Linked DNA regions of Caenorhabditis elegans. The protein of the gene in region 1 interacts with the protein of each later gene in a pairwise test. Each region holds a gene or a part of one and is shown on either strand. Other genes may lie near its edges. The genes, in order: coa-4 and sma-2.

Evidence for each region.
Region 2: the proteins of coa-4 (region 1) and sma-2 interact in a two-hybrid assay, tested with the Caenorhabditis elegans proteins (one large-scale study listed by BioGRID).

Annotation. Positions count from the first base shown.
Region 1 is NC_003282.8:9,326,051-9,339,490, forward strand, and holds coa-4 (Cytochrome Oxidase Assembly subunits), read right to left. Parts: upstream 9,553-13,440; 5' UTR 9,552-9,552; coding exon of another isoform or gene 9,476-9,551; coding exon 9,324-9,475; intron 9,280-9,323; coding exon 9,216-9,279; intron 8,753-9,215; exon of another isoform or gene 8,579-8,752; intron 8,508-8,578; coding exon 8,409-8,507; intron 8,356-8,408; coding exon 8,197-8,355; intron 8,153-8,196; coding exon 7,922-8,152; intron 7,650-7,921; coding exon 7,473-7,649; 3' UTR 7,247-7,472; downstream 1-7,246. Other genes in the region: F49C12.15 (Serine/arginine repetitive matrix protein 2-like), read left to right, coding at 1-957, 1,012-1,280, 1,329-1,400; clec-183 (C-type lectin domain-containing protein), read left to right, coding at 1,960-2,370, 2,456-2,695; nspg-7.1 (DUF19 domain-containing protein), read right to left, coding at 3,063-3,149, 3,248-3,311, 3,567-3,672, 3,719-3,778, 3,892-3,989, 4,382-4,503, 4,635-4,802; T20D3.14 (CHCH domain-containing protein), read right to left, coding at 9,459-9,551, 9,601-9,682, 9,737-9,837; slc-25A51 (Solute carrier family 25 member 51), read left to right, coding at 11,261-11,311, 11,358-11,430, 11,479-11,696, 11,782-11,925, 12,049-12,228; T20D3.6 (HIG1 domain-containing protein), read right to left, coding at 12,690-12,913, 12,979-13,135, 13,195-13,248.
Region 2 is NC_003281.10:8,742,605-8,759,210, forward strand, and holds sma-2 (Dwarfin sma-2), read left to right. Parts: upstream 1-7,075; 5' UTR 7,076-7,259; intron 7,260-7,308; 5' UTR 7,309-7,359; coding exon 7,360-7,362; intron 7,363-8,003; coding exon 8,004-8,055; intron 8,056-8,169; coding exon 8,170-8,273; intron 8,274-8,458; coding exon 8,459-8,536; intron 8,537-9,144; coding exon 9,145-9,443; intron 9,444-9,490; exon of another isoform or gene 9,491-9,695; coding exon of another isoform or gene 9,696-9,834; intron 9,835-9,883; coding exon of another isoform or gene 9,884-10,030; intron 10,031-10,416; coding exon of another isoform or gene 10,417-10,709; intron 10,710-10,758; coding exon of another isoform or gene 10,759-10,821; intron 10,822-10,866; coding exon of another isoform or gene 10,867-10,939; intron 10,940-11,004; coding exon of another isoform or gene 11,005-11,286; intron 11,287-11,333; coding exon of another isoform or gene 11,334-11,497; intron 11,498-11,543; coding exon of another isoform or gene 11,544-11,626; intron 11,627-11,674; coding exon of another isoform or gene 11,675-11,978; intron 11,979-12,024; coding exon of another isoform or gene 12,025-12,141; exon of another isoform or gene 12,142-12,146; intron 12,147-12,287; coding exon of another isoform or gene 12,288-12,361; intron 12,362-12,435; coding exon 12,436-12,749; intron 12,750-12,799; and 9 more. Other genes in the region: nssp-33 (DUF19 domain-containing protein), read right to left, coding at 1-52, 102-176, 541-660, 785-895, 1,131-1,235; ugtp-1 (UDP-galactose translocator 1), read right to left, coding at 3,855-4,157, 4,397-4,711, 5,119-5,247, 5,293-5,400, 5,679-5,803, 6,008-6,095; Mitochondrial import receptor subunit tomm-70, read right to left, coding at 9,696-9,834, 9,884-10,030, 10,417-10,709, 10,759-10,821, 10,867-10,939, 11,005-11,286, 11,334-11,497, 11,544-11,626 and 2 more; aak-1 (5'-AMP-activated protein kinase catalytic subunit alpha-1), read right to left, coding at 14,632-14,757, 14,815-14,903, 15,379-15,513, 15,861-16,160, 16,209-16,413. UniProt on the Caenorhabditis elegans protein: Involved in TGF-beta pathway. Plays a role in male tail tip morphogenesis.

The DNA.
Region 1 (13,440 bases):
TATCTATTCTCCAAGGAACGAAACCTTCTGCACCTCCAGCATCAACCAGTTCATCTTCCAAAAATTCTTCTTCCATCAATTCTCCAAAGACTCCGAATATTTCTGGTTCTTCGCGTAGATCTCGTTCTCGTGCCAAGAGACATAAGGCTCTCCAAAAGAGGGATAGTAAAACTAACAGAACTCCAAGTCCTGATAGACAGTCATGCAAGAAGGATGCTCGTCCAGATCAGGATCCAATCAAGTTGAGTGAGATTAAGGTTTCAGAGCATGTCGACTCAACGGGGAATGAGACTTTTTATCAATCTTTCCCGAAAGCCACGTCCACTCCGAAAAGTCCAGCTTCTTCTCTCAACTCTTCAGTTCTTGAATCCAAAGTGAAGAATTCCATGCAGAAAACTCCCGACGAGGGTCCGTCTCGGCGTGGTGCAATGAGCATTAGAGAGCGATCAGTTTCAAGAAACGGTGACAATGAAATTGATTTGGATAAAAGTTTGAGCTTGAAGAAACCATCTGCATCGAAGAATTTGGCCAGTTTGTTGGAAAAGAAGGAAGAGGCAAGAAAAACTGATGTAACATCTTCCATGATCAGTTCAAAACCTCCAACTTCTCCTGGCACCTCCGTCTACATGTACAACACTGGATCAGCCAATTCGACTTTTATGTCTGCTAAAGATTTGCATAAAGAACGTGTTGCAGCTTCTACTGGTCCCAGATCTGCTTCAAAATCTCCAAAAGGAACACTTCGCGTGAAGGAAACTAAAGTCATTCGTGAAGTTCGCCAAGAAGATGGAAAGCCACCTGAGATTAGTGAGAAGAAAGAAGAAACTGTGAAAGAGGAAAAAGTGAATCTGAGTGAGAGATTGAGAGCCAGATCGAGAGCTTCATCTCCTGCAACTCCAACTTTGAAGAGAACATTCAATCAGACGGATGAGTCGAATATTGTGACTTTGAGTGCAGGTTAGTTTAATTCTTAATTTTTATATATTCAGTCAAAAATATTATAATTTTAAGTCAAAGAAACCCATCAAACTTTGGAAATGACACCAATCAAAGTGAATTCTGAAACAGTTCCTTCAACTTCTTATGGACAACGTGCTTTCCCTGAGAGTGTTCAATTGGATATGCTCATTGACAAGAAACGACTTGTGCTTAATGTTAATTTCATGCTTCTTGCTGAAAAACATCCAGAAGTTGAAATTCTTGGTTTCACATTCAAAGGACAAAAGTTGTGGGAAAAGAGCTCAGAATGGAATCTCACAAGTGCAAATACTACTAGTCATGTCAGTTTTCTGTATGTATTTTCATTTTCTGAATGTTTTGATTTTCAGACTAAAACAATTGCTCGTCAAGCCAGTAACATTTTGGGAGATGAAGAGAAAAAAGACGAGGAGCAAAAATAACTGGACTACTACTAGATACTTGAACTGAACTGATGTATTGAGCCATGAAAAAATGAATTTTTATTGAAATTGTCCATTCTGTTAGTCGAGAAATGTTTTTATAGAAAGAGCTTTCCGAATGCCTAAAATTTACAACTGTTCACTTTGCCAGGTCTGTGTCTTGAAATGGTATCCGCATTAGGCCGCAAAGGGCCCATTTTTACGCTTCACGAAAACGACCATATTCGCACGTTGTTTGTGAGCCACCCGAGTGAGATGGTGATCTAGGCACCATCAGTTCATTAAGCCATTTTCATCTAACAGTGCAGGAAGAAAGACAATTACATTTTCTCGAATTCGTTTCTCTATCTTCAAAATTTGAAAGATAAAAAAGGTAAAATTTTCAAATATAAAACTTTCGAAAAATTCATAAAGGTATCAAACATCAATAATTTCTGATTTTCAATTTGCAAATTATTTCCTCTAATTTCCATTTCATCATGCAAATTCATTCATTATAATTTCAAAAAGTGTTCCATATAAGCCGGCTGGGAATTGTCTAAACAGACTGGTTCAAAAAATGCGTCTACTTCCAGTAACTCTTCTCTTAGGAGCTGTCATCTTTGTTTCCACCAAAAGTACCTGCCGGACAAGAACTAAACCTCCAAGTACTGTACCTATGAATGAAGTAACTGAAGCTGTAACAACCAAGAAAGCAAGCAATGTTACCGTTAAACCTACAACATGTGAGGCAAGTTGGACTCGAGTGGAAAGATCAATTGGTGGATGGTGTCTGAAGGTTTACAATGGATTTGTTCATCAAGATCAGGCTTCTCAGGCTTGTATTAGAATCGGAGCTGAACTATCTGGAAGTGAAAGTTCTGCTGAAAGAGCTGTTATTGCAAGACTTGGAAAAGAAAGAATGCTCGCTGCTTCTGACTATAAATTTGGAACTATTCGAGTTGGAATTGCAAGACCTACTACAACTAGAGTGAGTTTTTCAAGAAAAAATATGAAAATAAACTTGAAACTTTCTTTTGACCGAGTTGTGTTAAAATGAAGTCTTAAATATTTAGGCTTGGGCACTCACCGATGGAAATAATGATGGAGGTCAGCAAGGTATTCAATGGAGTAAGGGAGAACCACAACTGGGTCCAACCAGCGGATATTCCCATAATTGTGCTCTTATGTGGATTTGGGCTTCAACTGGAACCAGCCCTTATGAACATGGAAAATACTTTCACAAGTTTGTCCACTTACTTGGAAGGACATGTACAGAGGATTTGTTTGTGGAAAGCGTGCTACTTGATTTTTAATGTTCTAAATTAATTGATTATTCGAATAAAATCTTATTTTTCTTTTTTTGCATTTGTTTTCTTTCGATTTAAATATACTTCTTCAGGTCATAAATTCTAAGGTCGATGTGGCAGCAAATAGTATAGAAAAGAACAGATATGACGCAAATAGGAAAGAGGCGAGACGCTTTTGTGACGCCTCGGACAGATTTATATAATTACAGTTGTTTTTGTTTCAGTCTTTTTAGTAAGATGTTTCATTATAGTTGCGAAAACTCCAGACCAGTATTACCCACAACTTCAAATTTTAACATTTTTAACGAACAAATCCAATTTATCATATTAAACTTTAAAAAGATATTAAATGTTCTTGATAGAAAAGTAAGAATTAGTTGGTTGAATCAACCATGCATCTGAGTCCCCAGCAAGAGTTGTCGAAAGTGATACGGAAGTTCTCACATCCAAAGTATCCAGCCTGCAATTATTTAAACTTTTTTTCAGAAAAGTTTCAACTTTGAATTCTAAATTTTGTTATTTTGCCTTTCTGTGTATCAGAAGATTTTTAAAACTCACTCCTCCGACTCCACAGGCGGCATTGTAGGCGTCATTCAAACAGCTTCCAGTTTGTTGAACTGCTCTGAATATGAACAATTGAATTGAATAAAGTAGATAGTATTTTTCCAAACATAGTTCAAATGGTGGAGTACGAGTAAAATTGCGAATTTGCTTTGGAGATAATTCAAACAGGGAGATTTGTAAAAAATTGGGAAATCGCGAATTTTTAAATTGAAATTTTCAGTCCTTCGCAAATTGTTCTTCATTTTAAGTATTTTAAAACAAAATGCATTAACCATATTCCACTTTTGATGTATTCTTACTATTCATAACTCACGGGCAGAAGTTTCCAGCAGACACTGTTTGATTGAAGTTTTGAATGCAAGAGTTATACGCATTTGTAGTTGGGAAAGTACCGAGACAGTCCCATTGGCTTACTACTTCTGGAAATAGTAAAATAGTGGTAAAGAAGTCTTTGGTGAATCTTACCAGAGAATCCTCCGACGCACATCCACTCGAGTCCACGGAATGTTCTAACATAATCGAATGCTGAAATATAATCATTAAAAAATAAATTTCAATTATAATATGAAAAAAATGTTGTACGTTCGAATTGCCATTCACGACAGGTCGAAAATCTCGATATCTATGAATTTACTCACTGTTCGAGAAATCAGGTTGTGGCTTGTTGAGAAGAGTATAGAGATTCATACAGGTATAATAAGAAGATCCGAGGCATTGGTAGAATTGAGTACGGGTGCTGAAAGTGTCATTGGATTTGAATGTTTGAATTTATTGAATTTATTAGCATGCAATACTTATGAGTTCACTAAATATTTAAAATTTAAACAGTAGTAAGCAGTAATAAACAATGAAGCCTAGAAATGAGTCTATGATTAATTTGTCTTATGCCCGGTCAATTTGACAATGAAACTTTCAACTGTTATAGTGGAACATGTTAAGTGTGAAAAACGACGAGGAAATTGAAATTTAACAAATTGAACATAATTATCATGGCTAACATAGACACATATAAAACCAAATGGCGAAAGTTTCAGAAGTGATATAACATTTTTTAAAGTAAGATCGTTCACAAATAAATTTTTCCTAACAGATCACCACAATACCACAATATTCAATGTTTCAACTCACTTGCAAACCTTGATAAGTTCTGTAACATTCATTTCCAAATATTTCTGAACTGTATTGAAAATGTAAGATCCATTGCGCCAAGAAATAGAATCATCCATTCCAAAGAACTGATTGAACGTTGTCTAGAAAATTTTCATTGAAACTATAATTTTATTTTTGATGATCAGTTTTCATTACATACAAATACTTATTTTTCTACAAACCGCTATCGAATTTGCACCCGTAAAAGGTGTATTGGATATATTAAATGTACCTGACAATAATTGAATTGAATATCCTGACAAGCAGAAATGGCAGCATTTTGAGGAGTCTCACGGAAAGCCATTAATTGAATAAGATCATTTGGAAGAGAATATGGTAGAAGGAATGCTGCTTGGGAAACTCCCACAAGTACAAGAAGAGCCAATGCTATTGTACGCATTTTCTAAATAATTTATAATATCGTTCAGGTTCAGGGAGGAAATTGACGGTAAGTGCAGAATTTTGAAGGGGATTGGTGATGTCATCTTAATTTTTTTTTTCTTAAGCTTTATTGGATATAAATATAGAACTTTGAATAATGCGACAGCTTGAAGTTAGATTTCAAAAATAATAACCGGTTCTTCTTTACTTAGTCTCAGTTGTATGTGACACTAATGTTTTTTTGGAGATTTGAATGACTAAGGGAGGAAACACGATAATATAATATAATATTGTTTATTTGTCACAAGAAAGAGCTACACCGGAAGATTAAAAAATAAATAAAATGATGTGTGAACAAATAAGTAAAATGACCAGTATAAATTGCAAAATATAGTGTCCAGAAATTGCAAATTCGAGCGTCATTTTTCTTATAATGTTTGACGTATTTTTGATAATTTCCATGAAGTTAAAAAGTTTTCCAGAAAAATAACAACCAAAAAAACATTAAAGAACATTGAGAAATTTTGGGTACTGTAGCGGGAAATTTTCAATCGTGCCAGGACCATTGACAGTAAGTCCGTAATTCATGGAGATGTAATAATAATAATGAAGTGGATTTTAATTCATTATTGGGAATTTCAGAAATTCTATTAGGTTGGTCCGGAAGTCTTTATAACTGGGTTTGCTTTTCCACCGCTCGCCACAGTTGCACTTTGGTATTCCCTCGTTGCTAGTGAATAACAACAAGAGTAGGAACTTCATTGTAAGCAACACCTCATTCCCTTTCCTCTGGCCTGAAGTTAGTCAACCAACGATGTATGTCCCTAGTGCGATCCACATCCGATATGGTTTGATGTACCTCTTCCTCTCTCATACCACGATGAAGGATTCGGAAAGTCTCCTCAAGAATGTTTATGATTCACATGTTCCCTACTATAATATCATACGCAATTGGTTCCAAAGCTTCGAGAAGGACGACTTTTCTCTCGAAGACTCTGAGACCCCATAAATTGGATTTGGACACGTTGCAGAAAGCCATGGCAACGGATCCTTTCCAAATCACCCGTGAGCTGTCAACCACACTTGGGTCCCGTCAAACCAACATTGTACGAGGCTGGGAACCTCTTGGAATAAAGAAACTTATGGGTCAATTCATACCTCACACCTTGACACAGGCGAATCTTGATTTTTTAGTGGGTGATTCCTTTTCCCTCCTCATTTTCCACGGGGCCGATCGATGGTTGGGCCGACTCATTACTGGTAACGAGAAGTGGGTCCTCTACGATAACAACCACAAGCGTGCTCAGTGGATTGGAGAATGAGAGACACCACAGGATGCCGCCAAACCCGACCTTCACCCCAAAAAAGGCATGCTCTCAGTGTGGAGGGGAGTGTAGGGCCCTTTCTACTGGGAACTGCTGCCTGAGGGCAAAATGATTAGTGGGGACATCTACGTTATCTAACCATGGAACATGAAGGAAGTCATCGATGGTTCACCCCTGATGGACAAGCAATTCTGTTTTCAGCAAAACAACGCTAGTTCCCACCTCTCGAAACAGGAAAAGTAGGAACATACCAGCCATGGATGGATGGTTCTCCTTCACGCACCGTATTCTCCAGACCTCACTCCATCTGAATACTAGTCGTTTTCAAATATGACCCGTGTCCACGAGCGGAGAATCTTCAATACCCAAAAAAGTGCCAATGTAGCACTCAAGCATTATTTCGACTCGCGCCCGGAAGGGTACTGTTAGCAGGGCATTAATAAGTTGCCCACACGTAGACAGTATATTGTTGATAATGATAGCGAATAAAATGTATCCTATCGTTTCTCTTGCTTCGAGAAATAAACGATTGAAAAAGTTATAAAGACTTCCGGACCAACCTAATACTTCACCGTTTAAAAAACTTGGAAAATGTGAAACATAAATTTTTTTGACATATCTGGTGAAACAACTATATTCAAGAGAACAGGAAAAATTAGCAGAACAGCAAAGCTGAAGGATGGAGCTGTACTGAGTCGTTTTACGGGGGCTCGAATCTTCGCCTCTCGCGCGGAAAGTTGAATGCAAAGAAGGCAGAAGATAAAGCGGTTCTATCACGACCGTATGGAATATCTAGTTTATTTTAATCAAATAAACTACTGAAAATTTTCTCCCAACAGTACAAAAACCTTAGATTTTCAGTATAAGAAGTTTTTTGAAAATAAATTTAACTTTTACATCTTGTTTTTTTTCAAAAAAATATTAAAAAAAGAACGGTAAAATTTGAAAAAGTGACGTTTAAAGAAAAAGTGAGAAGCTGACTCAAAAAAAGGGCAGGGCGTCGTCAAGATTCTCGACCGTGTGCATACACACCGAATCGTGGCAAAAATTATATGATCGTGTCGTCGCAGCACATTTGATATCACCTTGGCATATCAGTATAGGTTATCAAATCGAATTACGTGGACATTGAATGCTTTTTAACTGGATGATTATTGAGGAGACACACCTCGTAAAAAGGAAAACTGTTAAAATGGTTTGGGGAGAGTGTATGTCACTCCCAATTCTTGTTATGCAAGTTTGCAGTAATGAACTTTTTGAAAATTGCAAATTTTCAGATACGGAAGCCAACAAAATACAAGTAACAATTAAACGATAAGAGAAAAAATGAAACAATGAACAACCTAACAAAATAGCCTAGAAAATTAAAATGACAAAAATGGAAAACGATGAAAGAAGTCTTCAATTGTGGCTGGTTGATCTGAAACTGGAATTAATTTGTTTTTGGAGCGACTTTCATGAGCACGAAATTCTGAATTTGGAGTGGATTCGACTGTTGTGGTGTCTTTGTGAGAGTTGATAGAAGAGTGAATTGATTCGATCTGAAATTGAAGATAACGAAATTATTCATAATTTGGGAACTATGGCAATGCATTTCTATCTAAATATAATTTCTAGGTTTTTTTAAAATAAAATCAACTCTATATTTAGAGAAGTCATACTAACATACTTTAAATATAGAAAAATGTATTCACAAAAGTTCAGAATTGATTGCTAATGAATGTCTAGATCACTTTGAGGTTTTGGGAATAATATTCACTATTTTATATGGTACAATTTATAAAATGTTTTTAAATTACATTTGATAACTCACAATATTACTTTCCAATTCTCCTTCCAACTCATTTAATTCTTTTGTTATTTTCTCCAATCTCTTCTTCAATTTCTCCTGAATAAATCCTTTGGAATGATCGATTTCATACTTCAAAACTTTCTTCATTTTCAATTTCAGCCCAAACATTTCCAACTTCGTGAAATATTTTGAGCCGATTTCAAAAAGCTGCCAATTTTCGAATGATCCACACAATTGACAAAGAAGTGCCATCTAGAAAACTCGGAGTTGTATTATGTTTGCATTCGATAAAATACCGTGTTTTTGAATTCTTTCTGATAGTTTGATGTGAAAGGTAACTTTGAGAGAAGAAAAGCTTTTGTTCGTAGAAACTGAATTTGATCACCAAAATCGACCAAAATGGATTCGTAGTAGGAAAGAAATTGTAGAGAAATTGAAGTTTCAGGTGAAGACAGCTGAAAAAAAATCATATAAAATTTATAGTTTCATATACTAAAAATAAAATTACCTCCGATGTTTTTTTGATGGAACATTGGAGAAGAGAATCGATTAGCATTATTTCATGTGTACGATTGTTTTTCGTGCTTTCACGGAGCCCGGTGAGAATCTAAAATTGAAACTTTTGAAGTTAGAATATGATTTACAAGTAAAAAGACAAAACACCAATAAAACGTCACAAAAAATTTGGAACGCTTCACGAATTTGCGTGTCATCCGTGCGCAGGGGCCATGCTAATCTTCTCTGTATTGTTCCAATTCTAGAACATATACTAAAATTGGAACAATACAGAGAAGATTAGCATGGCCCCTGCGCACGGATGACACGCAAATTCGTGAAGCGTTCCAAATTTTTAGATCTTTTCAGTGGCGTTTTGTGTTTTGTACTTTTAAATTTAAAAAGAATTTCAGGTTGTTCTATGTTTATTTTTGTAACAAACAATTTCGTAATTTTTTACTTCTGAAAAGTTAACTCACCACGACAAATTTTTGTTAAATCCGAAAAGGCGTGCGCTTTTGAATAGTACTGTAATTTCAAGCTTTTGTTTGGAGAAATTTTTATAGATTTTTCGTAGTTTTTTGATGAAAAATATAGTTTTCTTATTGAAGTTGAAATATATAACAATAAAAACCTTGAATTTAAAATCTAGAGAGAAACAATGAAAAATCGATGAAAATTCCGCAGCAGCGAAATTCTGAAATTAAAGTACTTTAAATGCGTACGCATTTAACAAAAAATTGTCGTGTCAACACCGGGCTCATAACTTCCAGCCAAATTTCGGATTAAAACCAAAAATTTAAAAATGAATGATTCTTACATTTTCAGCGCATTCGAAATCCCCATTATGATAACAATCAGCCACTCGGAACAAGTCAATTTCACTGAAATTACGAGTTTTATGTGAATAAAAATTAATCCAACTTACGTTATTGCAGTCGCTGTTTGATTTTCTTTTAAAGCATTACGATACCAATATTTTTCATGGAAATTCGGTTTGAAAGGTAGATAAGTTGGTTTTTCTTGATGTTTACAATTATTTTCGTCATCGGAAGGGTCAAAATCATTGAGAAAATCCATTATTCTTTGTTTCTGATTCTTCTTTTGGTGGCTCACCGACTTGAACGCTTTGAACACAGGTTCTGAATTCTTTTACCTAAAGTATATTTTTTTTAATAATAAAAAGAAAAAAGAAGAAAACAAACCACGTCTTGACACTTTCTCCAATCTCTATGTTCTCCCATACAATCCGAGACTTTTAGATGAAGATCCCAGCACCCAGACTTCCTGAAAATAATATTTTTGTTTTAAATTTCAAAAAAATTGCATCATATTTCATACTTTATGAGTGACTCGACACGGTCTTCCTGATCGGCGTTTCCAGTCCAAATATGAGGAGATTTTGGTGCTTCCTTAGTAGCAGTTGGAGCAGCAGTTGACATTACCCTGTGACAATTTTCTGTTCTTTGGTATTTTATTGAAAAATAAAAAGAAGCAACGTTTTCGAGAAAAGACAGACAAAGCGTAGGATGAGAGATTTGGAGTTTAGAAAGAGACGCAGGCATTGAGAGAACCCTGCAGTGTACATCGCTCGGGGTGCCGATTTTCCGAGTGAAGTACACAAGAGTAGTTAAAATTGAAACAACTCGGTTTTTTTTTCAATTTTCAATTTTGATTATACTTCGGCGTTATCTCTTTTTCTTTCTCTTTTCGATAATCGGTGAAATTTTCGCACGCAACCTTGGCTGCGACGGTGAAAAATTGCCGCAGAACTATTCCGCTAGTTAGGAACATTTTTTGATAATCTTAACAAGCGACTTTGCTGTCCACCACGTGTTTTACACGTTATTTTATTTTTGAACTTGTAAAAAGCTTTTTTAATATAGTTTTAATATGAAAACTAGCAAATCGGAGAGCCGCGCCAGCCCTTCGGTAATGGGGATGCCCGAAAAGGTAGCTTGCGCAGGTTCTCGGCTTTGCCTCAAACCTGAGATGGGGATATTCGAGATTTCCTTGAAATTTGGGATCGATTGATTAAAGAACGAAGCTTCTGCGATGGTTTTGAGCTGAGATATGAGCGATTTAAGTTTGAGGAAATCTGGTTAGTTGGCTTGAGCGAATAACAATCTGCTTGGAATAGGATTACAAGAGGAAAAAAGGCTGAAAATAAGAAAGACAAACGAAATTTCGAAAGAAAAACATGAAACCTCTTCTCTGAAAAACGAAACAGAACAATCGAAAAAAATTTTGTACAATCTTGTTGTCCGAGAGGAGTTCGTGTAGAAGAATATCGGCCACGGCCACCGTCGAAAAATTTGGATATTTAATTTATTTCTAGCCCGAATTAAAGCTTATTCTAAACTTTTGGAGCTGTTTTTTGATGTATTTAAAGAACAAAATGTGTATTTTATTGAAAACTGATCTGTATATAGGTTTAATTTGATGAAACTTGTCTTTTCTGCCCGCGAAATGGTGTGGCCTAGAAAATTCTAAAGAATATTTTCTTAATTTTATCTTTTGTCAACAAGAAGCTTGTCTCATGCTCAAAAAATCGTTCTTTTTCGAACTTTGACTGGTTATTAAAAATTAAACTTTTTCAGGTAATAAAAGCTCGAATTCCGCGCAAAAATCACGCTGGAGAGCAGTCGGAAGTCGGCGGACCCGGCGACCACTGTCGCTCATCGAAACCATTTGGATTTCTTGGCGGGATGGGGAGCCGGATGCATCGAAACATGCATTTTGTATCCATCAAATAAAATCATCTTTCGACAGCAACTTCATGGATTCCACGTGAAAGATGCAATTCAACAAATCAAATTGGAAGGCGTTGGAAAGTTGTACAGAGGACTATTACCTCCTCTAATAATGCGAACGACGAGTAGAGCATTAATGTACGGATTATATGATGAATTTCAGGTAATTTTACATGAAATATTTATATTAACAAGGATAAATAATTTAGATCTCCTTAAAATGTCCACGTTCACCTCCGAACTCTTCGTTTTCAATTTGTCACGCTCAAGCTGCATTTCTGTGTAAGTGATCAGTTAACCATTAATTTCTTTAAAATTAATATTTTTCAGCAGGAGTATGCGAAGCAATGCTCTGCCCGCTGGAACGGGTTCAAGTACTTCTTCAAACAACAATATTTCATGACAAATTTAAGAACACATTACACACTTTCAATCGTCTCCGCGACTATGGTTATCGGGAATATTATCGAGGATTTTCTGTTATTCTCATCCGAAATAGTCTTTCAAATACAATTTTCTTCACTCTTCGAGATCCGTTGAAACAAAAAGTGAGCTTATTTTCTAGGGATATTATAATTTACGATTTGCTTGTAGCATTTTAAAAAATACTTTCCTATAATATCTGTGTTTCAGATAGTCGGAATCCCACAAGCTGGACGTCTTCCTGAATCACTTCAGCAACTAATTGGTGATTTCGTAGCTGGATCTCTATTGGGAGCAACCATTTCTACAGCATTTTTCCCATTAGGTGTTATCAAGAATCATATGCAAGCGAAGGTAATTTGTTAACTATCAAAAATTATTAAAATACTTACTGATCTAAACTATATTTCGGATATCTTAACTCCGAAATATATTTTTTTTAATCCAAAAGTATCGTAAATCATTCAATTTTTCCAGGTTGGTGTCAAATACGAAAGTGGTTTCAAAGTATTTCGTGATGTGTGGCAACTTCGAAATCGTTCGCTTCGTGGTCTTTATTTAGGTGTTCATCTAAATTTCACTCGATCCTTAGTAGCATGGGGAATCATCAATTCAATGTATGGAATCCTTCGGCGAGCACTTGCTCCATTTGAATAATAAGAAACAAAAATTATAACCTCACATTTTGTGCCTTTCTTTCTTTTGCTCCCAATCAAACCAGCCAAAAATTTTCACTTTCACTTGAATTCTAGGAATTCGATTTGTTTATTGATTGCTCGTAATAGGAAAAATAGATATCAATATTATTGTTTTAGAAAAATATCAAAAATTTCGCAAATCTTATCCCGCTCACTCTTCTTTCTGGTCTAATTTTACGCATGGCCTACGTGTTTTGGTTTTCCATGTAAATAATAAAATCCGTTGAACTCACCGGACGTATAAGTCTAACTTGATTGAACATTAGTAACACATCTTCATCTTCATTAGAATCAAAATTGTATTTCACTTTTTGGGAAATTTATTTTGATGATTTCCTCAAAATCTACATACATGGTCTGTCTAGTATAGTTATGATATTTTAGAACAGACGAGAACTAGAACATTTTATGAATCAAAAGTTAAGCAGAATTATTCTGAGGAACCGCTGGCGGCGGAGTCAGTGAAACAATATTAGCTTGACCCTTCCCAGGAGCTCGCAGAGCCGCTTCTGTGGGTGCACCGATTCCAAACATCACAGCTCCTCCCACAAGAGCAGCGACAGTGAATCCTTGAGCAACTACACGTCCACGCATGAAGTATTGAGCACCACGGGAACTTCGACGCAATGTGGCAACCATCATTCCTGAAATTTTATTTTTTAAATGTATTGCTGCGGTCCAAGACTGATTTGGAAATGTCTTGACGTACCAATAAGGCATCCAGTAGTGGCAAGCATTCCAAGAGGTACAAGTGGATTATTGAGTGCCTTCTGGAGAGCTGTTGTAGAAGCTGTTTGACCACGAGAACCGCCAGACATATCTTGTGGGATCAATGGAATACTTGCACGATAAGCTTCTCGTTCTTGCTTGAAACAATAATAAATTAAATTTAATTGTGACAAAAATTAATAATCGTTCAACTTACAGTCCATTTTATATGCGCTTTGTGATCACGGAAGTCATGTGGCTCGGCGTTCATTTTTTGTCTCAAAATTTAATAATAATTGATGTTGTTTTCAGAAAGTCCAAAATACTGAAAGAGAATAAACTCAAAAAAAGAATACAAAACATTTCAATATGTTTCAATTTAAAATAAAACTTTATCTCTGGTTTGATTCTCATTGATTGACGGGCGAAGGAAATGTGAAAAATAGCCACTATAAATTTTTAA
Region 2 (16,606 bases), on another chromosome or scaffold:
ATCCATCCATCGCTCGACACATTTCAGTCAAATACGCTTCTGTTGATGATCCCTGAATCTCATACTTGATCTACTCAAAACATGAAACAAAATGAACTCACTTTTGCTCCTTGTGCTTCAGAAATTGCTTGAGTGGCTGCTATCTTACAGCTGATATACTCTTTTTGGGCTTCGACCTTAAATTTGATTACTGTAACTTTGTTGAAGAAGACGAAGAGTGTCACAACATTATTTGTAGATGCAAAAATGTTGTCAATCACAAAAGAGTAGAAACTTAAATTGTAGAAAAATTCTAGACAACTGTCTTTCTGATACTCTTTTAACCAATCAATTGATCAAGTTATGACAGTTATTTTTTTAAAACAGTTGTCCAGACTCTTTCCAAATTAGAAATATTCTAAAGTTTCTTTTGCCGAATACTGTACTTAGTTTATACCAACTTTTTTTAAACCAGTTTGTGATTTTTTATAATATACGATTAAAAGTGTTGTGTCTAAAGTGTGTCTATCTTCAGAATAACAAGTGAAACTGTGGCAGTACCTCTGCAAAACATCCGGCATGTTTCTGAAATAATGGTTGACCAGAACCACACATGTAACTGTATGAAGCATGAACAGCATCAATTGACAAGGAATCACATTTCACTGGTGACACACAATCCTAAAAACATTCAAAGATTTTCGGGATTTTCAGCCAAATTTATGAAAAAGAAAAATTTATGAAAAAATTTACCAATTTTCTGAGTTCATATTTTTGATATTCAAAGCAATGAGATCAACCTCACCTTGAAATCGGTGTAGATAGAGCAAAGTTGGTTGAAAACTTGGCCACCTTGAAGTGGAAACTGCATAGCTCCGGTCTCCGCTTGAAGTTTTGTAGCGTAGTCAAGCATTGGCTGTAATTTTTTCATTGTAAGACATTGGCGCTCAAAAACCTAGCTTTTGTTTCAATGCATTTATTTTTTGAAAGAATCATAACTTTAATGGTAGTTAATTTAAGTTATGTTTTCTAAATTTAAATCTTAAAAACTGAAACTTGTTTCTTAAAATATGTTGAACAAATTATTTTCAATGATGTAACCAGTTTTTCATTATAAAATGTTTTCAAACCGTCTTGAAATATAAGAATACCTGTAGACACTCGCTAACTTTCTTCTCATCAGAATATTCACATTTCACTGGACTTTCTTTTGTCTCCACACCAGGTATGAACATTAGAAAAGCAAGTAGAATCATTCTGAAATGTATTTATAGTTTATAGGGCATTTTAGATTTTTGGAAGAACCAGAGAAGAGCGGATCTTGGTATAGCATAAACTATAATTTTCCATAAATGTATTACAACAAGAGTATGAAAATGATAAGTTTTAACATTTTTCTTAGTTCGAAAATTCCAAAAAAATCCCATATCTACATACAGGACTTTAATCAATAGAATACCGTTCAGATTTTTTTTTAAATACAAGGCTTCACATATCTAACCAGTATAGAAAAACCGAAAAGTAACTGTTATATCCAGTGAAGTATGAAAATTGTGATGTTGAGAGAAGGGAATAGTCGTCAAGCCTTCTTCTTCTGCTTCTTCTCCCCGTAATTCAATCGAGTCGAGTCCTCTTATCTTATTTTCACGCCGAGACTTCTTCGTCTTCTTTTCCATCGGGTTTCTTCTTTTTTTCTTATTATCCAGTACCCACAATACATACTCACGCATTCTTGGTTTTTCAGAGAAATGAGAAGTTACAGACATACGGTGTTGAAGATAAACATAACGAGAGTTCTTTCTCAGGAATTATGGTAAGGTAAAAATAAGAAGAAATACTCTCAATTTCAAAAACAGTTGAACAGATAAGATTGGACTGTATGCGATAGTTTTTGAATGCACCATGTTTTTGAGTTTCTGAGTTGCCAAAAATGCTGATTTTTGAAGTTTTTCTATTGTATCCATTTCACAATTCAGAGACCGCGGTCTGGTCTGAAAATCGTGAGAGACAAAGGGGATCCGTCTTCATGCTTATTTTTTTTTCAAAAAAAAATTATCCGAAAACTTTTGCAGAGAAACGAAAGTAGTTATAAAACAAAAAGTCGCTTAAAAGTACAAATTGGAAGTCAACTTTAGTGAGTCGAGAATTGATTCAAAATTCTTGATTCTTTATTCTCCAAATAACCAAAAAGTGAATTTGTTCTATGAATGTCCTTTCTCTACATCATTCCATTTCAAAAGGCTCTTCTCTTTCTATACTTCTGCTTCTTCAGCTCCCCGTCGTTTTCATTTTTCATTCATCTCTTCTCTACCTCGTTTTCCCTAATGTTAGGAATATTTTTTGAAAAATTGTTAGGAGTTTTTTTTGCATCAAAAATGTTCAGATGACAAAACGACGAAGGAAATGTAAATTGGATTTGGAAAAAGAAAAAGAAAAGATGGAAAAAGAACGGAATCTGATAAACTACTTGAATGGAAAAATGTTTTGAGATATTTGAGGGACAGCAATTTTTTTGTACAAAAGTCGGTTTGCTGTTGAATATTTAAAATTTCAGAAGCTTTGTGATATTCAATATCTATACGAAAACTGAATTTCAGATGTTAAAATGAATCCTACACAAAAGGTCCAAAACAAATGGGAACCTTCAGTGGGATTAGGTAACGAAGATAGATGAGAAGAAGGATTCTCAAAGAAAAAAAAAACGAACACATTATGAGGGTGTATAACTATTGACAATGGGTTTCTAGTGTTTTTTGAGTTTTTTGAAATGATGGGAAAGTTTTGTAAAATTTTGTGTCTTCTGGGAAAATCTATAAAATTAAGTTGTGAAGGGCTTGAGTGTTTGAGAAATTTATTTAAAATAATCCAGCTTGGCAGAAAGGTTTGAACATTCGAAAATAGTATTTAAAAAAACCTAAAGACCAAATAAATATTCTCGAAAAATTTCCAACTCTCAATAAAAAAACGATTGAAATACAGTTAACTAAAAGAATCCGGGCATCATTTCTGAGAAAAGAATAATAATTTTTAGAAAGGTAGGTACTTCAGACAATTTCTCCAAAAGACATGTACCATAAAAATTGCAATTGGCTGTAATTCGAAGTCTCTGTTTTTCAGAACTTGATATGTTATTTAAGAGAAAAAAACGCTACCATAAACTCGCGGTGAGACCCATTCATATAAATCCGTGCACACTCAAGAAAGAGTTTTAGAAAATTCGGATAATCAATGGATGGTCGAAATTGATCATAAAATATATAAAAAAATGCTCGGACATTGGGATGGCTTGAAAAAGAAAAGAGAAAGTTTCGTTCATCTTTCTATCTTTTCAGTTCCATTCGCCGCCAATCCGTTTCTGTCGTCTCTTTTTCTGAATTCCCATCTAATTAAACATCGACCACATGCATCCTTCCTGTCAAACACACACTTGCCAAACTACTGACTGAGCAAATTGCGAGATATCTCCAGGGAGCCATTGGAATTCTGTTATTTGGCGAGAATTTATGAGCCACCTGAGCACTAATGGCTTATAGTTTTAGAGCAGGAAGAAGGAAAGAGGAGGAGCCCTTGCTTCTGCTCCAGAGCGTTCGCACAATTGGTCAGGAATTCTGTGGATTGGAACAAATTAGGAAAAAATATGAATGCTTTTTATTTGCCATCGAGAATCGAGGAAGTTTATAACATAAAACCACGATCCAAAAAAACACAAAAAATGCAATAGAATAAAACCCCAAAAATACAAAGAAATCCAAGCATTAAGTTTATACAATTAAAGCTTTTGGCTAATACACAGAAAAATCAAGTAACCCGGAAGAATGTGTAATCAAAAAATGATGGTTTTTCTAAAACTGAAAAAAAGAAGCAAATTGTGAATCCTACTCGTTAACAGAGTTATACAAAAGAACAGCAAGAACAACACAAATGGTTCCAAGTACAAAATACATTCCAATGAAAATATCTGGAAATATGAGCATCGAAAGAACAACAACTAGAATGATAGAGACTGCTGAAGCCATTGATTTGTACAGATTATCAAGATATCGCATCACAAGAGAAATGTAGAGGCCTCCAACGCCAAGAAGAATCACAACTGCCCATACTTTGTCCGTGTAACCGAAGAAAAATCCCTTATCGGAGATCCGCGAAAAATCCGTGAGACAAGCGATTGAAGCACTGATCTGGAAAAAATTGGAAATTTTCGAAATTCGACTTTCTGAGATTAATTGAGCTTAGATTTTATTAATAAGTCTAAATTGGTTTTTAGTAATATTCAATTATTTCGAATCTCTATTTTTCAAACGATTTGAAAAAAAAACCCTAAATAGTTTCTGATTTTTTTTTAACTTTCAGAAGTTTGATTTATTCAATTGGATGGTAAGTAAATAAACTAGGAAATTTTGAAATTTCAGTAACTTACCACTCCACAACTGTACATTTGCATATTACGAATCCAAAATGGTGTACTTCCACCATCTTTCAACATCTTCTCAAAATAGACTCCAGCAAATCCAGCAGTTACACACGTTGCCAGTACAGCTGATAATCCGACAATATAATTTTCAGCAGTTTCTCGTTTTGTATTGGCTTCTGATGCAGAAACATTGTTCATTTGAACAAATGCTACTCCAAACATTAGAAGTGTAATTGCCATCCATCGACGAGTTGAGAACTTTCGACCGAGAAAGAGCATCATGAAAAAAGCTGTAGAGACGACTTTCAATTGAGTTGTGACCTGCAATTTTTTTCTTGAAAAAGTAGGGTTTTTTTGGATTTTTGAAAATAATAATTTTTGTTTTGTTTTGGAGAAAAAAAAAAGAATTTTTTTTTTGGCTTTTAAAGGGTTTTTTGTGAAAAATTAAAACAAAACATTTCTGCATCGTTTTTTTCTGAAAAAAAGAGTTGGGTTTTTTTTTTGGGAAAAATTGATTTTTTAATGGTTTTTAATGGATTTTTTTGAAAAAGAAAAAACATATTATTTTGAAAAACTCGATTTTTTTCCTGGAAAAACTTTTAATTTTTTGGTTATTTTTTGAAAATTTTTTTTGTTTGGTTTTAATGAAAAATTGATTCTTTTTGTTATTTTCATAGGAAAAAAGGTTTTTTGATTATATATTTTTTAATATTTCTATGACAATTTACCTGATAAAGTCCCGCATCCAAATTCGACAATCCCACAAAATCCAAATTATTCTGAAGAGCATACGCAAACGATGGGACACTCATTTTGGCAAGTTCTCGTGGAGCATTTATGTAATATTTACTGACTTGCTGTAAATTATAATTTTAAGATTTCAAAGAATACGGTAGATCTACCTCGGAAAATTGTCTGCTATCAAAGTTACATTCTTTGTAGAACATTGCAAATGTGATCACTAATTTCAAAATTTCGGCACATAAGACTACTGATGTTGAAGAATACATCTGAAATAAAAATGCATACTTTCGAAAAATTGAAATATTTGTATCAATTCTGTGTGTTTTTTTGGTGCTTTGGGATCAAAAAAAAAAAAATTTTTCTTAAAACCGTTTTCACACTTTGGATTTTTTTCAGAAAAGTTAAACATGATTTTTTATATTTCGCTATGAATTATCAATTGTATTTTATTGTCAAACTTTTTGAATTTTGAATTTTGAAAAAAAAAAATTTCTGAAAATTCAATAATCAAAGTCTTCCAAAACTATATTTCAAAATATATTACCATATCTGGATTTACAGTACTCCTTGTGTATTTGATTGTTAATGTGTAAGCTGTCCAAATGAATGTCATACTGGCAATAACATAGCATTTGAAGACAAAACTTGGACGAGATGATGACGGGGATTCTGAAATACTTGGCATTTTGATACAGAGTTTTGAGAAGGAATTATATAAATTTTTAAAATAACATACGAAAACTTAAAAAATGTCGAGAGTAAATTTTCCGATAATTTGTTTTTCGATTTTTTTTTTCAATTTTTACGGAAAGTTTTTTTTTTGAAGAAATACCAAAACTTTTTGAAAACTGTATAATATTAGAAACTTCCTACCATCCGCTTTCTCCACATCCTTATCGTTTGGCAGTAGCTTCTCCTTGTCCTCATCTTGATGTGATATATGTACATTTTGGAATTTCATTCCTGAAAGTTGTATATTTCATAAAAAATAATCAGTAAATATTGAAAAATGCTTTCAGAAAAAAAAAGATAAGAAAATGTGCTATTGGGGTATGATGTCTGATAAAAAGGGTGTATGTTTGTCTAGATCATTCTTCTCTTTTTTATTGTAAAAACGCCACGTTCATGCATAAAATTGAGAGGAAGTATCATTATTCACAAACGCGATGATAAAACCCATGAAATCATTTTTTGATACTTTTTAAAAGACTGAAAAATAGATAGATATTCTCTAGAAATGAAATATTTGAAAATGCATTGAGAACAAAAAAATATAACATTTTCCGATGCTTCCAAGCAACGCTTATGTTCCTTAGCAACATGAATTAACAAAGAAGGAAATTTCAAGGACAAGACACTACTTGACCTTCTGTCAAAGAATCTACTTATGAAAATTCGTTAAAATTGAAATTATATAGAAAATGTAAATATTGAATGAGTGCATAGAGCAGACTAGAAATTTCTATATCTTTTGAGATTCTCGGAATCTTTTCTTTTCAGAAAATTATGCTTTCTGATAAAATTCGGTAATTTGTAAACCATGAAAATCAAAATTTTAGGGCGTGAAATATTTTCTGCTGCAAGAATTTTTCTCTTAATTTAAGCACAAAAGCAACACAATTTCAAAAAAGTGTGTTTTCTGGTGTTCCTTGATCTAGTGAGACCGGTTTTTGCAAAGCCTACCTTCACAACAACCATAGACTATTTTATCCGATGACACCTGGTCCCTTCTCAAACAAAAGTGATGAATATTCCCCAATACCGTTTTCCTTTCAAACATGAATAAATGAATTCCATTAATTCCCTGCTTGGCTCCAGACTGTCGCCCTTCTGCGTCTCTAAGTCTTCCTATTTCAAACACTGTCTCATTTTATATATTCTGAGTCTCTCTACTATACTATGATGTCTAGTTGGCTACTAATGACGATAACGGGGGCGCAGGGACACAAGTTGACTGTCGCCGGGTGGAAACACATCTGTGAAGATGATTGCACAATTTGGAGAGACGGAGAGTTGAAAACAATGAGTAGACAGTTAGACGGTTGATGATGGGCTGGTGAAGCTGAGAACAATTTATGAGATACCAGGCACTTTAGAGAGGCTACAGAGGTAGAAAGAAAAAAAGGTAAAGGAGTGCGCATTTACAGGCTATTTTCAATGTTTCTTATTTATAGAATCTTCTTGTGATCTATTAGTTTTTACAATATTTCAAGAAGATTAGAATCATGGTAAGTTTTTATTTGTATTTAAGAATAAACATTCAAAAAAAATTCGAAATTTTGTAATTCAAATTTTTTAAAGAAAAAAAAAAATAGAATTCAAATTGTTGAACTCAATGAGTCTTTAAAATTTTGAAAAAAATACGAAAATCATTTTTAAAAATTTCAAAAAATGTAGCTACATTTTTTATGTTTTCCTATAAAGAATTTGTTTAAAAATTTCCCAAAATATTGTTGTGAAATAAGAAACTGAAATATCTTCTCGATATTGTCTAACCACTACCAGTTTGTAAAAATTATTATTACTTCCTCAAAACCAGGGCCTTGAGTCCTGGAACGTGTGTAATTTTTCAGCTACAGTACCCCGTGAACACCATAGACTTTGAAATTCTCAGCTTTCAAAGTTTGAACCTTCCGTTTTACATATTTTAATATTTGACGTAGTTTAAACATTTTTCCAAAATATGTGATTTCTACAATAAAATTCTTGAAAAAATCGAGACAAGAGAGACAAATAGTAATAGAGAGTACGGTAGCTGAAAAATTTCATTCGTATCAGAACCCAATTCCCAAGAATTCTTATTTTTCGAAAATAGATAAAATTGTATAACCATTTTTTATTTCACAACAAAAAACCACGAACCTTTCAGATAAACTTCGACGGAATAAAAAAGATCACGGAGAGACTGAAATGGAAACAAGGTAAGTCTCATTTTTGTCCAAAAGACCAATAGGGTGGGGAAATATTACAATCAACGGCGGAAATCTAGAATCGAAACTGAAATCGGATTTCTGACGGAAATAAGTATTTTACAGGAGACGAGGATGAGAATTGGGCAAAAAAGGCGATCGACAACTTGATGAAGAAGCTGATAAAGCATAACAAGCAGGCGTTGGAAAATTTGGAATTCGCGTTGAGGGTTCATGTGTTTTGTGTCTTTTGAATCTTTCAATTTGATCTTAAGATTTCTTTTTTATGAATAGAAATGAAATAATCTAGCAATAGACTACACATACTTTAAACTCGTTAAAAATCAATAAAAACTACATATATCCGATATTTCAATCGTAGAATAACCTCAAATCAATAACTATATCATTTCAGTGCCAAGGACAACAAAAAACCGAATGCGTGACAATTCCGCGGTCACTAGATGGACGACTTCAAATTTCGCATCGAAAGGTGATTTTAGTATAGAATAAGAGAATAATGGGGAGAAGAAGTAAACAAATTCAAAATGAAGGGGTGCCCTATTTGTTTATGAACATCAACTAGAAACAGAGACAGACTTACTTATTCGATTAATCGACCGACTAGATTTTGAAAAATGATATTAAATTTTTAAATTGTAAAATTGTGTCAACTAGTCGTTTGAACAATTTCAAAAATTGATTTGATCTTTTTTGATTTTATGGGCAAAAGTCCACGTGTCAGTCCCATTTGCATTTTTAATTTATAAATTTGCATAATTTCTACAGTACATCCTAACGATATTAGAAAAAACATAGATTTTTCTGCTAATTTTTTGATATTTTCACAAAAATTACACCAGCCAAAACTTAACCTAGATTATGAAAAATCATATTAAATTTATGAAATTTAAAAGTTTAAAAAATTTATAAACGTTAGCTGATCTTTTGTTCGATTTTCAATTTTTTTTGAAATGAAGCTTCTTCGTGAAATGCTTGTTTGAACAGCTGGAGATTATCATTTTTCACAGAAAATTCAAATAATCCACTCTGAGAAAAAATGTTAGGAACAATTCCAAATCCTATGTACTAAAAATTCAGGCACTTCCTCATGTGATATATTGCCGTGTCTATCGTTGGCCAGATCTTCAATCACATCATGAATTGAAAGCAATTGAAGATTGCCGATTCTGCTACGAATCAGGGCAAAAGGATATTTGCATTAATCCATATCATTACAAAAGAGTTCATGCAACTGGAGTACTTCCACCAGTTCTTGTACCTCGTTATTCCGAGAAACCACCACAAGAAGTGCCCCCAACTCTGGCGAAATTTCAGTTGATGGAGATGAGCGGATCAAGAATGCCGCAGAATGTCAATATGGCAAACGTTAATTTTACGTAAGTGTTTAAAAAATATATGGTATTACTGATTGAAGAAAAATTGAAATATCTGGTATTTATGAGATTATCGGGAACAAAAAAACAAAAAAGCGAAGAATAAAATAAGAAAACGAACACAGTAGGTAAGGAACGGAACTGGAAAACGGATGGGTTGATTTTGAGAAACCCGAAAACTTAAAAAAAAAACGGGGAAATGAGGGGAAAAACAGGTAACAAAGCAGCCTATCAACTATTCAAAAATTCTTTAAATTAATACATATCGAGCATTTCAGCTGCACGTTTCTTAGCATTCATCAATGGAATCATTCTCTTCAACATGAGAAGTTCTCGTGGTGGGGCAAATAGAGCTGCATTTCGAATTGATTCCATTGCTCGCTCGTAATTTTCTCTGAAAGGACTTGGATTTTTTAGTGGAACTCTGAAACTTTTTTACTTACTTCTTGATCATCGGCTCTGGCCCGTTAGTTCCCAAAAGATGAAGAACGTGAGCCGAGAAATTGAATGGATCAACTGCAATTGCTGCGTTGGCACTTTCAGTTGTCAATCTGAGTCGTTCAGCTTCTGGTTTGTGCACGTGGAGATCACTGGAAAATTAATTGTATTTAACGTAGAACTTAGAAGCCGATGGGAATTTCAATTTAAAATTCGCAGGCTGGTCCCTAATGACGTGATTGAACAAAAAATTCGCACTTTTTGATTTTTCAACTTTCCGATAGCTTAAATTTTTGCCATTTTCCTTCCTTTTAAAAGAAAATTATACTTCTTCTTTTTTCAACAACAGAAACAAAATTTATTTCAAAAATCGAATTTTATGAGTATATTCTTCGATTCTTTTTTTTTTTTTTTTGAAAAAAATCGAAAAGTCAAAAAAAATTTTTAATTTTCGATTTTTTGTTTTATTTTTTTTTTCATAAAATCTCGGCAACTGGTACCAGTCGGCGAATTTCAGAAAATTAAAATCTAAACTTACGCAGTCTGCAAATGCCTACTTGGCACCAAATATCTCGTAGTAATCCTTGCAGCCTCTTCGAGCAACTTCTTCGAGCTCTCCTCATTATTAGTCATCATATATACTTTGGACATAAGAACCAGATTGAAATGAGTAGATCTACTCTCTGCGAGTTCTTCCATTTCTCGGATTCGTCGATGAACATCAGCGTAGTCTTCGCTGGTACACAACTTCAGGAATGTAACAATCATGGAAAGATGTGGAGTGAGAGTTCCGTTCTTTTCAGCTTCTGTGAGAAGTCTATTGGCATTGTTCTGGAAAATTAAATAATTATAAATAAGAAAATTATGAATTTAAATTTACTGTATCCGCCATCATTTGTTGCTCATGATTCGTCACTGCTGTATCGAGAACACATCCATTATACTGAAACCATATTTTTAGAGAATAAAAATGATTTAATCGAATTACCACAAAAATAGATGCAAACGAATAAAGTTTGAAAAGTCTTTCCTTATCGTCTTTTGGAACTGATTCCAGGAATCTGAAAATTAGAAAAAATTAGACAAGACCTGGAAATATTTTGGAAAATCAAGAAAAAAAACTAACTTATCCAAATCTGCCATAGTATACATTAGCTCAATCTTGAGAATATCGAAAGCATCTCTCATTAGTTTTTTGCGTTCCTCATCCTCTTCTGATCCAATCAGTTCGTTAATTTTTGCTCCAACTTTATCGATATATCTCGTTGCCTCGTTAGGATCAGTACTGTAGCTTAGCATTTTTCCACGCAAGATCATTGCCGGAGGATAGCTGTTTTCCTCAGTAAGCAGATCAATCAGTTCTTCGTATTTTCCTTTTTTGAACTTTTCCAGTGCAAGTTGGTATTGTCTGAAATTTATAATTATTTTTACTGTATATCTAGAATTAGAGCTTACTTCTGGTCTTCACTGAGCACTTCTGGTTCGAATCTGGTGAGATCTGTTTTGAAAAGATCAAGAATATCCCAAGTATCACACCACTGCTGAATTCTGAACAAAGCTACTGGCTGTGGCTTAACATCTTCGATTTTGAGTGGTTTTCCAATGTGACAGTCGGACATCTAGAATAAAAAGTTGAGTTTCTTTAAGAAATTGTTAGGCTCTTACGGGTTCTATAGCAAGAAGCTTTCCAAAGAATTCGAAATTCGTCTTATTCAGGCTAGAATCCAAAGTGAACGCGGCAAGAAGATCTAAAAACAGGAATTGATACTTTTCTCGTAACATCTTCAGAAACTCACACGCCAGAGCATCCTGTTTCTTTCCGACGTCATTAAGTGCTTTTGCTGCTCTCAAGTATGCTTTGGTGTATTTTTTGTCTACTTTCAATGCAGCCATACAGTCGTTGAGGATATCAAAAGGGCTGTGTCCAACCTTTTCACGACAGGCTGCACGATTTTGGTAGAGCATTGCGACAATTTGATCAGAAGAGTTTGGTCCGGCCTTTTCGACTCCTTTTGTGAATGCTTCTAGTGCGGAATCGTATTGTTTCTCTTTAAACTTCAAATTTCCCAATGCTTTTATTTCCTCCAAGTCCCTTTCCAGCTGAAATTAGTTTTGAAATTGATATCATTGTACACTAGAAACTCACGTCTGAACCTCCAAAACTCTTATATACCAAGTATCCTACACCTGCAACTGTCGCTGCAGCTGCCACACCGATCAGCACTTTTTTCGTTTGGTCGCTGATTCCAGTCGTTTCGACCATTATATCTACAAAATAATAAATAGATAAATGATATAAGTTAAGATTAAGTTAGAAAAATTGAGAATTCAAAGAGAATGAAGAAAAATTGGTAAAATGATGTAAAATTTCAGTGATAAGAAAAGTAGGCAATATTTACGATAAACAGCATGCGGTGGAATTCCGGAGTATCGTCGCAAGTTGTAAATAAAATTGGATCCAAAATAACTTTGAGAGGGAAAAGGTTACGAAAAGAAAAAAAGGTTGAAATATTATCAATATATTTTCTAATTAGGGATTTAATAAATAATTTTCTAGAGCCAACCAATTTCATCAATACAATCCAAATGGAATTGAGGAAATGGATACTTCTCAGAAATTCGACATTCCACCAGGAGTTCCAACATGTCTCGTGCCATTCGATAAAGTTTGGGAAGAACAATTCTGGGCAACTGTTAGCTATTATGAATTGAATACAAGAGTCGGAGAACAGGTTAAAGTGTCTTCAACAACTATAACTATCGATGGATTCACTGATCCATGCATCAATGGAAGCAAAATTAGCCTGGGACTGTTTTCGAATGTAAATCGAAATGCAACTATTGAAAATACAAGAAGACATATTGGAAACGGTAAGAGCACCCACGGCCTCGCCACGAACGAATTACTTTCAAATCAAGGCCGAGCAAAACACGCGTGCGCCTTCAAGAAGTACAGTAACCTGATTTTCGGGAGATTGGGTACCGTACTTCGGCGCATAATTTTTGCAAGACTATGACTAAAAAATTGAAAATTTTCAAACTTTTTGTAATTCCAGGTGTCAAGCTAACCTACGTACGTAGCAATGGCTCACTCTTTGCTCAATGTGAAAGTGATTCAGCTATATTCGTACAATCTAGTAATTGTAATTATATCAATGGATTTCACTCAACAACTGTTGTTAAAATTGCAAATAAGTGTTCACTGAAGATTTTCGATATGGAGATTTTTAGACAGGTAAGCTAATTCACGTAATTGCAATGTTTGAGTCAAGAAAAGGTCTCGTCACGCACAAAATAACTTAAAATTGCAGTCTCACAGCAATATGTGTACCTTTAAGCAGTACGGTAGCCTATTCTTATACTTTTTGAAAAAAACTGGGTTACTGTACTTTTTAAAGGTACACACATTAAAACTGGCGAAGCCATGTTCTTGGGCAAAAAATAGTAACTGAAACTATTAGGTCTCCAAATAAGTTCCGGGTCAAAAATCATAACTTTGTTCACTGCGTATCGATTTTTATGAAACTGTGGGAATTTATGTTATCAACCATGATCTTTCATTTGACAATAGTCACAAAATTTTTTTGCCGTCCGAAGTGCCCTAACTCGGAGCCAAATTTTTCAGGCATTTTTCAGATCTCGCTTCTTTTACGTTTTGATTTGAGGTTCGTGTGCGGATTTAGCTTTGTTTAGTACACAATGTAAGAAAACAAGAAAAGTTTGGAAAAAATCCGTTAAAAAAAAAATTTTTTTTGTCGGTCGTCAAAAAATGTTCAAAAAAATTTTTGTCCAAAATTCTTGATTTTTCATACAAAAATGATGTAACCATGTGCAAAATAAATAGTTTGCACATGGTTACATCATATTTGTATAAAAAATCAAGAATTTTCGACAAAAACTTTTTTGAGCATTTTTTGACGACCGACAAAAAAATTTTTTTTTGGACGGATTTTTTTCTAAACTTTTCTTGTTTTCTTACATTGTGTACTAAACAAAGCTAAATCCGCACACAAACCTCAAATCAAAGCGTAAAAGAAGCGAGATCTGAAAAATGCCTGAAAACATTGGCTCCGAGTTAGGGCACTTCGGACGGCCAAAAAATTTTGTGACTATTGTCAAATGAAAGATCATGGTTGATAACATAAATTCCCACAGTTTCATAAAAATCGATACGCAGTGAACAAAGTTATGATTTTTGACCCGGAACTTATTTGGAGACCTAATAAGAAAAACTAAATTTTTCAGCTTCTCGAGGACTGCAGTCGCCGTGGATTCGACGCCTCATTTGATCTACAAAAAATGACATTTATTCGTATGTCATTTGTCAAAGGTTGGGGAGCTGAATATCAACGACAAGATGTCACTTCAACACCTTGTTGGATTGAAATTCATCTTCATGCTCCATTGGCTGTAAGTTCTGAAATTCTTGTTTTCTTTAGAAATAATACAATTTTCAGTGGCTCGACCGAGTTTTGTCTACAATGGGTCCAACTCCACGGCCAATTTCTTCAATTTCTTGAATCATTTTTATTATTTTTCAAATAACACTACCTTGTTGAATTGGAATCAGAAATAGAATAATAAAACAAAAAAAAAACAAACAAAGACGTCCAATTTAAGTACATGCTTTGAAGAGAAAAAAGGCATCTGAGGGGAATGAAGGGGGGCAAAAGTGAAACCGGGAGAAGATGAATTTTGAAAAAGAAACGAAAAATACATATCATTATACAGATAGAAACATAAAATTATGTTCTTATTCAGCTAACAAAGCCTGCATGATGATGTGGCAAGTTGCAAAGAATTCCATCGTCTGAGAACGAATTGGAGCTTCGGGTTCCGAAGATTGAGTTGAAACTTCATCAAGACTTTCCATTGAGTTCTGAAATTTTAATGCTTATAAAAAAGAACCAAGAACGAATATTTTTCTATAACAAACCTCAATATCAGCCATGTAGATACTGCTGTTCAACGATGATTTCAGCGAGGCGTCCGCGTCATCAACGCGAACTTTTGGAATGTTGACAGCTGAATTAATATTAAAATTGAGTAATGAAAATGAACCACTTAAAAAAATGATTGAAATTGTTTCGTTTTAATGAAATGAGCTTGAAGGTAGCGTCAGTGATGTCAAAATTTTTAATTTTTTGAACGAACTGTTTTTTTTTCAAATTTTTTACTGATCGAAACTGAGAAAATATCTAGATAAAACACTCTAAACTAAAATTTTCCTGGTCCTGCAGAAAAAAAAATTCGAATTTTAAATAATTTTTAAATCATTTCTTAATTTTTCTATTTTTTTTTAATTTAAAAAATTCGAAAATATCTTTCTCCAACTACAAATCAATGGTTTCGTGTTTTCGATTTTTTTTTTGAAAATTCGTTTTTTTTTTACTCTTTGGGGGTTTTTGTGAAAAATTTGCTACTCCTTCTTTGAAAAAACAAATTTTTTTTTTTGAAAATTCATTTTAAAATAATTTTCTTTCATCAAAATTAAACTTACACGGAGAAATTGGAGACATTGGAGATAGTGGAGACATTGGAACTTTCGAGCTATTTCCATTTAAATCACTTTTCGATTTGGCGAGAGTTACTGATACGGACGCAGCACGGGAACGACAACGACTCGGTGGAACAGCTGAAAGTTTTTTTTTAAAACAAAATATTAATAGCTATTTTCACTCGAAGAATACGGTACCAGGTCACGACACGACAAATTTATGTCAAGTGCGAAAAGGCGTAAAGAGTACTATAATTCATTAATTGTGTTTTAATTGTTTTACTTTAGTATTTTGATAAAGAAATCTTTTGTTCATAGAAAATCTATGAGAAATTGATGAAAAATTTGCAGTAACGAGTTTGAAATTACAGTACTCTTCAAAGGCGCACTTTTCGTAATTTACGAAAAATTGTCGTGGTGAGACCAGGCACCGTATTTTTAGCCCAAAAATCGTGAACTTTCGTGTTTATGTAATAAATACAAACCTTCTTCGTCTTCAGTGAGTCCTTTGAAATCGAGTAAATATCCTTTGTTATTCTCTTTTTTATCGAGAGCAAATAATTGAAGAGATACTTTCACAGGATCCGGATTAATTGGAGTCGGTTTGCTACGAACAATAATATGATACATACTGAGTACTTTCCATTCCATATCAACAGATTTTAAACTCAAAAAAACATGTTTCATGGTCTCAACTGGATCAAGACATGCACGAATTCCAAGATTCCATGTCAATTTCTTTTGCTCTTTTTTCAGTCCTTCCAAGATTTTTCGACCAACATTTGCTGAAAACTTTCCGACTACTTTTGCAACATTCCTTTCAGATTTCTCACTTTTCGTGGTGGCACCGACTGGCAACGAAGTGCTTCCCATTTTCATTGTTTTTCCAATCTCCCAAAAATCTTCCATTGCTTTTTGAGAAGATTCATCGGCATTTCTTTTATGATTTACTTCAAGACGATATGCAATACAGAGAAAATGATGATGATCTTCAGCAAGTAGAGCTCCAGTTACATCTTCTTCTTTCACATCAAATTTCTGAAAAAAAAAGGTTTCAGGTGTTGCTGTCGGTTAAAAAAAAATTCCCATGATTTCCTGTCTTTTTTCTATTTTTTAAAAATAAATTTTCATCTTAACTCATGGAAGTATATAATTTATAAGAATTTATAGTTTTTTCGTACATTTTTACTTTTCGGTTCTCGATTTCTCGATGAAAGGGGATTTTGCTTCT